3 linked regions of the Ovis aries genome follow. The protein of the gene in region 1 purifies or fractionates together with the protein of each later gene. This does not show direct contact. Links are inferred from orthologs where the notes say so. Each region holds a gene or a part of one and is shown in the gene's direction. Other genes may lie near its edges.

Evidence for each region. The genes of interacting proteins can lie anywhere in the genome.
Region 2: the proteins of SLC31A1 (region 1) and USP32 purify together in Homo sapiens (co-immunoprecipitation; 3 studies listed by BioGRID and IntAct, with this or other methods). This does not show direct contact. The link is inferred for Ovis aries from reciprocal best matches to the Homo sapiens genes SLC31A1 and USP32.
Region 3: the proteins of SLC31A1 (region 1) and B3GAT3 purify together in Homo sapiens (co-immunoprecipitation; 3 studies listed by BioGRID and IntAct, with this or other methods). This does not show direct contact. The link is inferred for Ovis aries from reciprocal best matches to the Homo sapiens genes SLC31A1 and B3GAT3.

The regions. Positions count from the first base shown.
Region 1 is NC_056055.1:10,496,775-10,501,745, reverse strand, and holds the start of SLC31A1 (high affinity copper uptake protein 1), read left to right. Parts: upstream 1-1,958; 5' UTR 1,959-3,621; intron 3,622-4,971. Other genes in the region: FKBP15 (FK506-binding protein 15), read right to left, coding at 1,560-1,612.
Region 2 is NC_056064.1:12,286,146-12,291,084, forward strand, and holds the start of USP32 (ubiquitin carboxyl-terminal hydrolase 32), read left to right. Parts: upstream 1-1,891; 5' UTR 1,892-1,899; coding exon 1,900-1,951; exon of another isoform or gene 1,952-2,077; coding exon of another isoform or gene 2,078-2,135; intron 2,136-4,939. UniProt on the Homo sapiens protein: Deubiquitinase that can remove conjugated ubiquitin from target proteins, such as RAB7A and LAMTOR1.
Region 3 is NC_056074.1:37,497,507-37,502,339, reverse strand, and holds the start of B3GAT3 (galactosylgalactosylxylosylprotein 3-beta-glucuronosyltransferase 3), read left to right. Parts: upstream 1-1,785; 5' UTR 1,786-1,985; coding exon 1,986-2,067; intron 2,068-3,204; coding exon 3,205-3,379; intron 3,380-4,702; coding exon 4,703-4,833. UniProt on the Homo sapiens protein: Glycosaminoglycans biosynthesis. Involved in forming the linkage tetrasaccharide present in heparan sulfate and chondroitin sulfate.

The DNA.
Region 1 (4,971 bases):
ACCAAAGATTGCTTAACTCTAAAATAACTGAGCAACCAAAAGAACTCAAGATGAAACTAAGTGGATGCAGGCCATCCAAAGTGAGGGCAGGGGTGGAACAGGGCAGTGAGGATGAAAAGAGAACTTAGAATGGCTAATATAGAACTAGTCTCTGTGTAAGTCAAAAGATCCTATTTAAGAGCAAAACAGAGCCAGCGCCATTTTAAGTCAATTGAACTCTCCACCAGGACTAGAAGCAATCTGAGAGCACACAGAGCAGCTTAATCATCTCTGTAACCTCTAAGCATTTAGTAGAATAAGGATCGTAGGATTGTATACTGGTGTTTTCCTCATTCCTGGGTACCTTCTTAAATGGTTAAACAGATATTCAAAGAATGTGAAAGTCTCTCAGTCCCTGCGCCAACTCAATATATCCATTGGCTCAGACGGTAAAGCGTCTGTCTACAATGTGAGAGACCTGGGTTCGATCCCTGGGTTGGGAAGATTCCTTCGAGAAGGAAATGGCAACCCACTCCAGTACTCTTGCCTTGAAAATCCCATGGATGGAGGAGCTTGGTGCAGACTACTATCCATGGGGTCGCAAAGAGTCGGGCACGACTGAGCGATTTCACTTTCTTTCTATACAGTCCATGGAATCCTCTAGGCCAGAAGTAGTTAAACAGATGTTCAAAGAAAGGCTCTGCAAACATCAGAATTTGGCAGTTCACAAGTCTGAAGGCAGTCAAGCTGTCTACTGACACATTACAAGAGAAAAGGTCAAAATGATTACTGGAAGAGACAAGGCCCTGACTCTTGAAAACCTGTGTGTGTCTGTGTGTGTGTGTGTGTACATATATACATAGACTGGGAACAGGGGACAGCAATTGCAGTTTCTTACATGGGCTCTAAGCTTTCGAGAGCAATTTCACAGTTATCATTCACTCAGCAGGCACCTTCTAGAGCAGTCACTATGTGCCAGGTACTGTGCTGAGGACTGGACAGCAGGAACAGCCTGAACAGTCCGTGTCCTATTAGGGCTTATAATCTAGTAGGTTCGGTGTGCAAAGATAAACGTAAACACACCTAGTTGTGGGGATAAGAAAGAGAAAGCAGTTTATTCTGCCTGGGGCTGTGGGAGAAGGGAAAGCACCGAAAAGGTGACATCCGAGCTAGGCCTTGAAGGATGGTGAAGCTGACCCACCAGGGCCAATTCTGATGGGTCAACGTCTTGTCCACGGAGCAGAGAAAGCCTCATCTCGGCACTGGTGGACTCATAAAAATTCTTAGGTATTTTTATCAACAATCATACCCATTTCACAGCAGGAGAAACTGTGACCCAGAAAACAAAAGTTCCAATCCTGTGGTCATACTGCGCTTCAGGGGAGATGTCAGGTCCAGAATCCGGGTGGACAGACTCAGCACAGTTTCAGTTCTGTCCAGATTCCGGGACCTGAACAGCACCGGAATGTGGCAAGGGTCTCGGGACCCGGAAGTTGGGAAGAGGTCTGAAAAGAGAGACCCCTCCGACCGATCTGCCAGGCTCTCAGCCACGCCCTCTTGCCCTACGCTTCTGCACTCACCCGCCGCTAGGCGAGAGGAAGTCGGTATCGTCTTCGTCTCCAGCACCGAACATCGCGCCGCCTTTCGCCCCGCTTCGGGGAGGAAGTCGGAGCGTTTCCAGAGACTTTCAACGCCGACGCCGTAAAATGCCGCGGCGGCGTGCTGCTTTCCGGCAAGGCGAACTCTCTCATGGTTATTGGGCCAGGAGGAGACTAGGCTGTGGAGAAGGTGGAGCAAAGGCAAATGAGAGGGCCTGGCGGGCGAGGCCTGATGAGTGACGTAAGCTTCTTCTGCCCTCAGAGGCGGTGAGAACGGCAGGCGCTCAGAAACTCTGGGCGGCGATTGGCCAGCGAGTCAGGGGGCGGGGTAGGGGCGGGAATCGACGCTTCGGTGGCGGTCTCGGACACGTCGCGAGGGTCAGAAGTGGAGGGGCTTCTGAAGAGTCTTGGAGGTGTGACGGATTAAGGATCTGAGAGAGAGGCACCGGTGGCGGGACTCGATCTGGAAAGGTAAGGCCTCTTCTGCTCCTCTCGCAACCCGGGCACGAGCACAGTCCTTTCTTCTCCGGGACAGGGACCTCCACGCCACTCTGCTCCGCGAAAGGAGAAAGGGCCCGGGACCGGAGGTCTGGAGACCCGAGCTTTCGGCCCAGCCCCCACTGGGACATAACTGGAGTGACCTTGGGTCAGGGTGTTGCGTGCCTCCGTTTCCCTGCCTATACAACGAGTCTGATCCCCCTGCTGCCTGTTCCCTGTGGCCGCCCTCGCTATTTGTTCAACGAGCTGTTTGTCCAGTGCTTCAGTGTGCTGGCTGGTCAAGAAGCTTTAAGACCTCAGAGGTCATCCAATTCAATCCCAGTCTCCTCGTAATCCCAGACTTCACAAATATGGAAAGACAGGAACTCAGCACTTGGATGACTAGTCCGAGGTCACACAGAGTAAAGGGCTGACTGAGGCTGGATCCCTGGTTTCTTGATTAGGGACTTAGCAAGCTGCCTTGGTCAACAAGAATGTTATCAACCCTTAAGTACTGTGTACTCTCACAGAGTGGGCACACCTCTGGAGAGAAGTTCCTTCCCTAGTGTCCACCTACGCAGGAGAGCTGGGAGCGGGTGATGGAGAGGAGGAAATTTCAGAAGCTGAAGATCCCTGGCCCCAACCTTGGCCTGGATTTGCTTAATCTTGTCACAAATCTAAGTCAACATCATTTGTTGTCGACTTCTCTCCAGTTTGCACCCTCTCTAACTGATACAAGCATTTCTTTGGTTAACCTGGTGGGTTTTTTTTTTTTGGAACAATTTCTGGGTAGGCCTAACTTAGCCGAAGGAGGTGTGGATAAGCAGAATATGTCCCACCTTAGCTTCTTTACACAGATCTCAATCATATTAGGACAACACGTGTCCCTTACCTGAAAGTTTTAATCTGTTAACATGAATACGGAGTGAAGTGGTTGGTAACTCCTTCCCAGAGTTTTAATGCCTCTTAGCACTTAGCTTGTTCTGCTTTTATTCTAGTTTGTGTGCCTCTATTAAATGGTAAACTCAAGGACGGTGACAGTTTTATTCCTCCTGGTGTCTCCTGTGTCACGGAGCACTGTGCCCTCTTGCCTGTAATGGGTTCTCGTTTACTCGTTTGTTAGACTGAGTAGTGCAATTCAGCCTTGTTTCCTTATTCCTTAATTTACCCTCTTAGCATGTTTTTTCCCCATGTGACCCAGAGAGCCCAGCAATGGCTCTTGCCTTGTCTAAGTAGCTTCCAGAAAGATAAAAGTGCTGTACTAGCTGTGAACTGTCTGGGTAGCTTAGTCTCTTTTTTTCAGTCGAAGATGACTTTAATGTTGTTTAAAGCTCTAGGGGAGGGGGAAAAGGAGGAACGGGATAGCTAGAAATATTATATGTAGGTCTAATTTTTGTTCGTAAAGTATTCCTCTGTTAAACGGAGGGATAGGACTGTTGTCTGCTTCCTGTGTTTATTTTACAGATTAAGATGGTTAAAGCCTCGAAGGCTGACAGTGTTAAAGCAATGATGCAACTGGAGGCTAAGCACTGGAACTGGAATCCTTTGTGGTAGCTGTCTTTTGAATGTGAGCTTGGCTACTCTGGGTGCAGGGGAAGAATAATCTATATAAGTAACAGCTCTTTCCACTCCCTCTGCCTAGGACTGGTTATTGTCATTCCATCACTGCAGCATCTGAATAGTGCTTTTTACAAATGTTAAAGGGGACCAATGAGCACTTATCTTGTGTTCTTGAGTTGGGAGTGTTTTCTCAGTAAAGCATTTTTTTTTAAACCTTTTAATTTTGTATTGGGATATGGCTGATTAACAATGTCGTGATAGTTTTAGGTGAACATCAGATATCCAGGGTGTTTAAGTTACCTTTCTAGATAGGCAGGAATCCTAACTAAAATCTGGATCACGGATCAGCCTTCTTAGTGACGAGACACCCCAAATACGCATGCCCAGTTTGCCCTTGTAGGACACAGCTGCTGGTTCTGATTGGCACTGGGAGAAAGGAGAAGACAGTGGTGAGCCTTCCTCAGTCTTCCAGGCTTTTTTTTTTTTTTTTTAGATTTATTTACTTTTTAAAAATATTTGGTTGTCCTGTGTCTTCATTGCTGCACATGGGCTTTCTCTAGTTGCAGAGAGCAGGGGCTTCTCGTGTTTTGAGCATGGACTCTAGGTGTGTGGGCTTCAGTAGCTGGGGCTCATGGGCTCTACGGTGCAGGCTCAGTAGGCACATGGGCTTAGTTTCTCCGTGGCATGTGGGATCCTCCCAGACTAGGGATCGAACCCATGTCCCCTGCATTGGCAGGCAGATTCTTAACCACTAGACCACCAGGGAAGCCCAGTCTTCCAGGCTTTGGACTGCAGGATTGAGTGCACCTAAAAAAGCCACTGTCTTCCTGAAGTAGAGTAGTGGACTAGGAATCAGTAAACTTGAATTCCTGTCCCGGCCCTCCTAACTCTCTCTGAGCTTGGGCCAGGCTCCCTAAAATCTACCAGACATCTATTAAATAGTACTGCTGGGGATACGAAGGTAAATAGGCACTACCTTGTCTCAAGTTTGAATAAAGCATTTTTGTTTGTTTTGCTTAAGTATATAGCTTTTAGACATATTTGTGAAATGTATTGACCCCCCTGAAGATTAATCAGAAAGCATGAATTTTAACAGTTCCTTTAGGATTATCAACAATTTTGCTACAGAGATGACAGTGTTTATATGCAGGTACTATATAATTCTATATAGTATATTAATCTGTTCTGGTGAATGATTTTAAAACTAATAGTTTAAAATTATAAGCAAGTTAGATCTTAAGTGTGGTGTTTGGATTATGAACTGAATGTAGGTTTGGGATTGGAATTCCAGGTGGAAGTGAGGAGGCCAAGGTTTTCCAAGTTTAAGATGAGTTGCACTCTTCAGTTCGGTTCAGTG
Region 2 (4,939 bases), on another chromosome or scaffold:
GAGATAGATTAATTCCAACCCAATCCCACCTTTCAAGTGGGGCAAGTACTAAAAAGAGATAAAACAATTTGCTTCCAGTTCTACTGTAAATCAAGTGGGTAGATAATCACCCAGGGCTGTCCTTTCTACAGCAAGGTCGCCTTTAGGTACTGATTATTTAGGACAGTAATAAAGCCAAGGTATGTTGTAATTAAACTCTTGAGGGTCTTTTCTCCCACAGCTGAGCCCTTTCTTAAGAGTCACTTCCCATTAATAATGATAATCTACTGCAGGCTGAAGATGACTGAGTTGTTTTGTCTGAAAACCTGCGTTTGAGCCGAACTAATCACCTGGAAATTAAAGGCTTTGAAGTACACTCCCAACCCCCTTATTCATGGCCTTTTAGTAGTGAAACTAATCTGAGGCCTTAAAATTAACTACCTCACAGTGAACTGGAAAGGGCAGCACTGTGACTAATGCCAGGCTGCTGATCTGGTCTGCCAGGAAAGATGAGTAGAGTTATTGCCTTCTCTCTCTAGCAGGGCATATTATAATCTGTTGACTTTAGGAACTAAAATCCTTTCGCTGTCCCTGAATTACGTAAGTATCACCTTAAATCTAATCTAATTCAAATGATTATTTTTCAATGTATTTTCGTATCCAGACAAACTGAGTTAAAAAAAGCAAGGACCTGAATTTATTCCATTGTAGGCATATACTATATTTACTTATTCATCTGTCCAGTTGATGAGACACTTGAGTTGCTTCTACCTTTTGGTTATTTTCAATAATGTTCTATAAACATGGAGATGTAAGTTATCTGTTCCTGTCCGGGTTTTCAATTCTTTTGGCTATACAGTCACAAGTGGAAGTGCTGGGTCACATGGTAAACCTGGGACATTCTGCTACCGTGCTGCATCGTGGACGGATCTTGAGGACACTATGCTAAATGAAATAAACCAATCACAAAAAGGGAAATACTGTGTGATTCTGCTCTTGAGATATTTAAAAATGATTAGCATGGCAAATTTATATTTTAACACAATTTAAAAATAATAAACAAAAGCGCAAGGTACTCTCATCAGTCTTGTAACGCTCACATTTCTGGTGGGGAGCAACTCTTGCAGATAAGCTAAGCTTTTGCGTAACAGCTTCCAAAGGCTGTACCAGAGGCAGGCGCAGAGCAGGAGATGCGCCCGGGGGCAAATTGGCTCTGCGTGAAAGAAAATCCAGCGTCAAAGGGTCGGGGGATGGGGATACAGCTAAAAGGAAGATGTTCTAAAATTTGTCCCAAGATTCACTTTCCTTAAGAATCACTCCACTAGGATGCAGAATTCTCTAGTGAAACCCTTGAGTTTCCTTTCCTTTCACAACTTCCTTCCTAATCAAAAATGTCCTTAACGTCTGGAATGCCTCTCCTGCCCGTTCCTTTCTCTCACGAACCGCACCCCTCGGACCCCGGCTCCCTAAGATTCCATTTCTCTTTCAAGACGGCTCTGGGCCACAACCAAACCAACCGTCAAGGGTTACGACCCCGCCCAGCGACTACCAGAACTCGTGGGCGGGAGGACGGCCTCAAGCGCCCCGGAAGTCACCACCCCTCAGGCGGGCGGAGGCCCCCGGGCCTCGCGGCTTCGGATTGGCCGGAAGGTGGGGATGATGCGTTACGCGCAGGGTCTGGCCCCGCCCCCACGCCCTGCGCGCGGCAAGCGTGAGGCGGGGCGGAGTGGGTGGCCTCTGGCGGCCATTACCCGGAACAATCCCCGGCCTCGGGTCAGGTGACCCTCGGCGGGGCAGGCGGGAGGGAGGGGGCGGGAAAAGGGCGTGAGGAGGGAAGGGAGGGGAGGGGAGGAGAGAGGAGAAGGGCGGAGTAAGAGGGAGGGGAAGGGGGCGGGGTGGGAGCTGGTCACGTGATTCGGCATGGAGGCGGTGGCGGCGGCCGGGAGGAGCCGCCGGGGCAGAAGCCGCACTTGTTAGTGTTGGGGGAGGTGGGGACCGGGGGACGCCGACACCGTCAGCCAGGGACGCCGAGGAGAAGGCGGGAGGGGGGTGGGGGCGAGAGCGGGCTCCGACCCCCGGCCGAGGGGATGAAGGGAGCATGGGCGCCAAGGAGTCACGGATCGGATTCCTCAGCTACGAGGAGGCGCTGAGGAGAGGTGAGGGGGGAGGGGTCTGGGCGAGCTGCCGGGGAGGCCGGCGACGGGCCGCCCGGAGGGTGGGTGACCGGGAAGGGGAGGGGAGCTTGAGGGCGTGGGGCGCCTGAGGCGGAAGGGAAAGGAGGCCACGATGGGGATTTTTGCGGGGGAGCAGGGTCGGATGGGAGCAGTGTTTGGGGATTGGGATCGTGTGGACGGGGGCAAAGCTTTCCCAGAGAGAGGGGTGTCAGGCGCTGGCAGGGCGCTGACCGTGCTCTCTGGTGGCGTTGTTCTGGATGTGTCCAGGGAAGTCCTCCTCCCCTTTTTCCTTGGGTGGCACCAGCCCTTTCCAGCCCCCCTTATCCTTTACTGCCATTTTCTCCTATCATTCGTTCATAGACCCTCCAGCGACGTCCTAACCTCGTACCTAACAGCCCGGGCTGGAAGGCAGGGGGAAGGCGGCTGCAGTGCTCTCTGTTCGCTAGCAGAAGCCCCTTCCAGTTGTGTGCCGTCTCTGCCATTTCCAAAGGCTTTTTGCCGGTCTCTTGGGGGGCTGTCACCGTCTGCTGCCTGCCACCCCCTCACCCTTTGAGCGGCTGACTTTGATGAGAACGACCTGAAATTGAGTTGTGTTTGAGGTGAGATGAGACTGGACAGCTGGTGTTGCCACAAGACCTTGTCTTCGGTTTCATCGCCTCAGACATTGGTCAGAACCTTTCATTGCACTTGATCCCCAGTTCGCCTCCCCTCCTTCCCCATAAAATGGCATTCGGAAATCCAGCATTCTGATATTGTGTTATAGCTCCCTTTAGAGACCGGCCTTCTTGCTGCCGGTTCTAGCCTGCTGCTTATTGGCTCTGATGCACAGTATGTTGTTAACAGCCCCAACCCCCCTACCACTTAATCTGATACCACTGTCCATGATCACTAAAGCACACGCTAACTGGAAGTGTCTATTGCTCAGTTTATGGCCGGAATGTGACTTAATTTTTCATGACTGGGATTTGAGAGAGAGAAAGAGAGAGTGTGTGTGTGTGTGTGTGTGTGTGCGCGCGCGCGCGCGCACGCTTGCGCTTATATTTCTTGGTAAAAAGTAAAAAAAAAAAAAAAACATTAAGTAGCTTAGGTGTTAGGCATTATTGTTAACAGGTTTCTAAGTCAAGAAACCAGCCATGCTTCAGGTGATGGTATTAGTAGCTGAAGAAAAAAACTGGATTACAAGACAGGCATTCAATATGAGAATTTAGTAGCGAACTCTTGTTCGTATGTTGGAAGGAAAGGGTAAGTTCATTGGGCCATCACCTGAAATTACATACAGAATTTTGATATATTCTTGTGAAATAACCAGAATAACAAAAAAACGGCTTTTAGGTCTTTTTTCACCCTGTGGAACAGTATACTGATTGTTCTTATGGGCAATCTTGCTTGAACTTTTTTCCTTGCTTCAATATGAGAAATATTCCAAATTCTTGATGTGTTTCCAGCTCTAGTAGACTAGTCATTTCCGGGATGCTGTTGAGCCTGACAGGTCTGGCCTCAATTAGGCAATGGTTTACATGGCAGTGAAAGAGGACTTCAGTGAAACTGATTTACAGCTTCAAGGTTTAGAGGTGTTTAGTTTAAGTTTGAGGGTGATTTAGCTGACATTAAGGAATTCTGAAATTAAATTTTTATCTAACTCTAGCCACATATAAAATAAGATTCTACCTTTGTAAATATAAAGGAAATTAACAATTGGTGTATTTTAAACTGATTTGACTGAAGGTCTTCGTTCAATTTGTTAGGAGTCTGCTTGTTGAATTTTAAAACATCTTTGAAGAGGTAGCAAAATATTTGTTAAAATCTTCAACTTGTTTGAATGAATTTATGTTTTATCATTTTTGCTGGAGAGGAAAATTAAGGCAAGAAAGAGAAGCAAGCTGTTGATAAAACAGCATTTCTCAGTGTAAACCAGGAGCTTTTTTTAAAAACAACTTTCTATTTTGTATTATGGTATAGCCAATTAACAGTGTTGTGATAGCTTCAGGTGAACAGTGAAAAGACTCAGCCATTTGTATGCCTATATCCATTCTCCCCCAAACTCCCTTCCCATCTAGGCTGCCACATAACATTGAGAAGAGGTGAGCTTTTTAAATAAAAAATAAAGTGGGTAGTTCTTTTGAATGTAATACTGTTTGTTAAATGTCAGACTTTGATATAAAATTTTTTTAGTAAGCTTGTAGAAGGAATTTATAAAGCTTTTGATAGAGCTAGAAAATAGTTTGAGAACTTTTTTGAGGCATGTGAATAATCTAAATAGGGTCTAAAACTTATATCTGTTAGTCTTAGCTGCTTGCTTATATTGTACCAGGTGAATGGGGAGGTGATAGGACAAATACACAGTGTATGCTATATGAATCACTGTACAAGTAAAAAGCTATCTTGACAGACTACTGCAATACCTACTTGCTTGGCTTTACTTAAAAGTAGTGATCCCTAAATAATGCCTAACCATAATTAGGTGGTATTAAAAAAAAAGTCAAGTACGTATTGCCACCTTCAAATATGGAGTTACGGGCTGTTTATCTTGCAGAATGGGGCCTTGGAAATGCAGTGTTATGTTAACTACAGATAACACCTACTGGACCTGAGTGAAAGGGCAGTCTAGTGACTTGTTTACATTTCAGAAGCTCTGGAAATTAGAAGATTGCTTTTGGATACTATTTTAGCTACACTGTATATCAGCTTAATAAAAATGAATAGTTTCCTTAAAGTATACCTTAACCTTTTTTTTTCAAAGGAGATGTATTAGTGGTAGCTTTTATTTTTGGCTTTTATCTCTATCT
Region 3 (4,833 bases), on another chromosome or scaffold:
TTGTCAGACGTTTATGAAGTGTGGGTCAGAGGAAAGAAAAAGTACAGGATCCTGGAGTTAGGTACCTAAAAGGCACATAGAAAATTGCACAGTGGGGATTACATTATTCGGGGCAATCTTAGTTACTTACCAGTAAGATGGGGACAAAAGTCTATCTTACATACAAGTGGACAGGTACTGTGACAATGCTGAAGAGCAGTTTGCTCTTAAACTACTGCTGGGTGTGCTGGGAAAACACTATCGATGTAAACTCTTCATCCCAGAAAGGGGACCTGATTCCAAGTGGACATACTAGAACATCTACAAGAGGTTGATCATTAATAAAATGCTGGAAATGCCTTTGCTATTTTCCAGTTCATTATATTACTGTTAGTTTTGCATTTTTGCCATGATCAAAATTCTGCAACATCAATTTTTAGAGTGATAGTATTCTAAATTGTGGCCTTCCTTGGTTCATACGGTAAACAATTTGCCTGCAATGTGGGAGTTCCAGGTACAATTCCTGGAAGATCCCCTCGAGATGGGAATGGCTACCTACTTCCACCAGACAGAGGAGCCTGGGGGGCTATAGTCCATGGGGTTGCAAGCAGTCACACACGACTGAGCGACTAACAGACATCCTAAATTGTATTAAAGTTATCAAAGGATTATAGTGAGGATTATATGAGACAACCAGAGCACAGGCTTGGCAGTTCAGTTCAGTTACTCAGTCGTGTCTGACTCTTTGCAACCCCGTGGACTGCAGCATGCCAGGCTTCCTTGTCCATCACCAACTCCTGGAGCTTGTTCAAACTCATGTCCATCAAGTCAAGGATGCCATCCAACCATCTCATCTTGTCATCCGCTTCTACTCCTGCCTTCCATCTTTCCCAGCATCAGGGTCTTTTTCCAAGGAGTCAGTTCTTCACATCAGATGGTCAAAGTATTGGAGTTTCAGCTTCATCAGTCCTTCCAACAAGTATTCAGGACTGATTTCCTTTAGGACTGACTGGTTTGATCTTGCAATCCAAGGGACTCTCAAGTCTTTTCCAACACCACAGTTCAAAAGCATCCATTCTTCCTTGCTCAACATTCATTATAGTCCAATTCTTACATCCATACATGACTACTGGAGAAACCATCAGTTCAGTTCAGTCGCTCAGTCATGTCCGACTCTTTGCAACCCCATGAATCGCAGCACACCAGGCCTCCCTGTCCATCACCAACTCCCGGAGTTCACTCAGACTCACGTCCATCGAGTCAGTGGTGCCATCCAGCCATCTCATCCTGGGTCGTCCCCTTCTCCTGCCTCCAATCCCTCCCAGCATCAAAATCTTTTCCAATGAGTCAACTCTTCGCATGAGGTGGCCAAAGTACTGGAGTTTCATCTTTAGCATCATTCCTTCCAAAAGAAATCCCAGGGCTGATCTTCAGAATGGATTGGTTGGATCTCCTTGCAGTCCAACTATATGGACCTTTGTCGGCAAAGCAATGTCTCTACTTTTTAATATGCTGTCTAGGCTTGGCAGGGCTGTAGATTTCACTCATTCGTGTAGCAATTATTTACTGAGCTACTGTCACTGCGTGCAATGACTGGTGGATGGGTGAGTGAATGAATGTAAGAAAATATGCTCACAGGGACTGGAGATCAAGGCCGAGGGTCTCAAAGCCACTCCCACGTTACCTTACTTGGCTCCTGACCACCGGCCAAGCACGCTTGACACGCCGGATATGACGTCACCCACTTCCGTGGTTCCCAGAACTAGGCAATGGGACCGGAAATTACCCAGAGGGAAGGGGGTGTGCAGACTGACCGGAAGTGGGCCCAGACGGGCGCTGCCAGCGCTAGCTCCCGGGAGCTGATCGAGCCGAGCGTGAGGAGGGCGGGACACGGGGCGGGGCCGCTGCAGGGGCGGGGCTTGCAGGCTGGCAGGCGGGCGGGGGGCGGGAACCCCTTGTCCCCGCAGGACCCCGCCTGCCCCGGCGGCGGCGGCGGCGGCGCGGCCATGAAGCTGAAGCTGAAGAACGTGTTCCTCGCCTACTTCCTGGTGTCGATCGCCGGCCTACTCTACGCGCTGGTGCAGCTCGGTGAGCGGGGCGGGGCGGGGGTGCGGCGAGTCGGCGGAAGGGCATCCCGCCGCTGTGCATCCCGCCCTGGGGATGAAGCCCCGCGCAGACCCCATTCATCCGGCTCGGTCCTCCGACAGCCCCTCTGCGGCCCCTGGGCGCACTCCCCTCTCCAGAACGCACCGCGGCTGCCCGCCGCACCTCGGGTGAAATCAGACTCCTTCCCGGAGCCTGCCAGGCCCCGCGTGATCCCGCCGCCGTCTGCCTCTCTAACCCCATTTCCCATCCCTCTCGCTCGCTCTGCTCCAGCCACACTGGCTTCATGACAGTTTCTCGAAAACCCCACGCTCGTTGATCTAAGCACTTAACTTGTCTCTGCCTGTAACCTTTTCTCCCAGCTCTTCCCCAGCTGCCTCTTTCTCATCCTTCAGGTCTCAGCTCGCTGACATGTCACCGCCTCATAGAGGCCTTCCTTAACCACCTTAGCTAAAAGTAACTCTTCTTACTCTGGGTTCTCTTTTAAGCCTCCCTCCTATTTGTTTCCTTCATAGCCCTTACCACAGTTTCTAATAAATTGTATTAATTTGTTTCTTTGCTTAGTGTCCAGCTCCTCCACTAAACTGCAACCTCCATGAGGGCAGGGACCATGTCTGTTTGGTTTCCTGCTGCAGCCCGGGCACCTAAGGCAGTGCCTCCCAGGAGGAGCATTCAATAAATATTTATCCAGTGATGGAATCAATGAATTTAATGAGTCTTTGGTCACACAGCCAACGGAACAGATTGAACCCTGCCTCTTATGCAGGGATTTAGAGACTGGGCCACTGCATGATCCTCAGGTATTTGAAAGACTGCCCTGTTTTAGGAGATCAACTGTTCGTTATGCTTCCAGAAGGCAAAATTAGGCCCAGCAGGTAGAAAGGATGGAGGCAGGTGATCAGCTTAATAGACACATGAAAATTGTAATGGATGGAATTGTTAAAAGTTGGAGAGGCGCTGCTAATTAAGGCAGCGAGTTCCTCACCACCCTAGGTGTAGAAAAGCTGTTAGAGAAGTTGTAAGGAGAGCCCCGCATTGGTTAGTTGAATGGGAAGGTTAATGCCCTTTGGGATGCTGAACATCCTGTGGTTCTCTGCCCCCATCCCTGTTTCCTGGGACCAGGCCAGCCATGTGACTGCCTCCCTCCCCTGCGGGCAGCAGCAGAGCAGCTTCGGCAGAAGGATCTGAGGATTTCCCAGCTGCAAGCCGATCTCCGTCGCCCACCCCCTGCCCCTGCCCAGCCCCCTGAACCCGAGGCTCTGCCTACTATCTATGTTGTTACCCCCACCTATGCCAGGTATGGGCTCTGACTCACCCAGGATCTGCATGGACCAAGAGGCTGGGGTTGATGATGAGTTTCAGGAGGCACTGGGCCAGGAGATGTTCTTCAGGCTAAGGCACTGCCAAATGTCAGGCTAAATGAACCACATCGTTACTCAGATCTTGGGGAAATTGTTTTTTTCTATAAACAATAGATGGGAGGACTTCCCTAGTGGTCTAGTGGTTGAGATTCCTGGCTGCCATCATGGGGACTGTGGGTTCAATCCCTGGTTGGGAGCTCTAGGATCCCGCATGCCATGTGGCGTGGCCAAAAGATAAAGAATATAGACAGGGATGTGCCATGAAGTAGTGTAAAAAATTCCTGAGAAATTTTAAGATAACAACAATAAAGTTTCAAAGAAATTCTGAACTTGCCAAGTGAGTTCACTCTGACTCCTTAGGGAACCTTTGGTGAGGAAGTTTGAGAACCCCTTGACTAATGTAAAGTAGAGAAGGACTTGGCCATTCAGTCATATGGTGGTCTAGAAATAGTTACACCAGTTGTTATTTAGTGTGTTTACTCTCTGCCCCACACTGTGCTAAATGGGTTCCTTTAAAAAAAAAAATAAAATGTAGCATTATTAGTGATACAAACCAACTGGGGAATGTGGTTTTGAATGGAGCCAAAAGGACTTGCTGACATCTGCCTGGAATCAGATGGCTGGCCCACCTAGGCTAGGCATCTTAAGACCCTCCCCTCTCCATGCACACACGGCCAACCCTGGGGCGGGCAGGCCCATCTGAAGGGCAAAGAAACTTACAAGAGGCTTGGGGATGACCTTGGTTCAATCATTTTGGTCTAAGAAGGCACTGCCCTCTGCCCAGCAATGACAGACATCAGGAGACAGTGTCTACAAGACTCCCCCACCTCAGACTCCGGTTCTGTATTGTCTGCAGAACCGGAAATCAAAAGACTTGGACTTTTCTGGTAGTCCAGAGGTTAAGACTGTGCTGCCAACGCAAGGGGCACCGGTTCAATCCCTGGTTGGGGAACTAAGGTCCCACATGCCATGCAGCATGGCCAAAAAGATAAAAAAATAACAGAGCAGGTGAGGGAATTCCCTGGTGGTCCAGTGGTTAGGCCTCTGCACTTCCACTTCAGGGGGCACAGGTACTGTCCCTGATTAGGGACCCAAGATCTCACAAGCTGAGCTACTCAGCCAAAAAACAACAGGGAGTTTGGGTGCTGGTCAGGGTAATGTCGTGAGGGTGCTAGGAGTGGCCCAGAAGAAGACATATGTGCCTGCTGGAGTGGGCAAATGGTGGCCACCCTTTCCCTCCCGCATCTTTCCCCCTGCAGGTTGGTGCAGAAGGCGGAGCTGGTGCGGCTGTCCCAGACCCTGAGCCTGGTGCCCCGGCTGCACTGGCTGCTGGTGGAGGATGCTGAGGGCCCCACCCCATTGGTCTCAGGACTGCTGGCTGCCTCTGGCC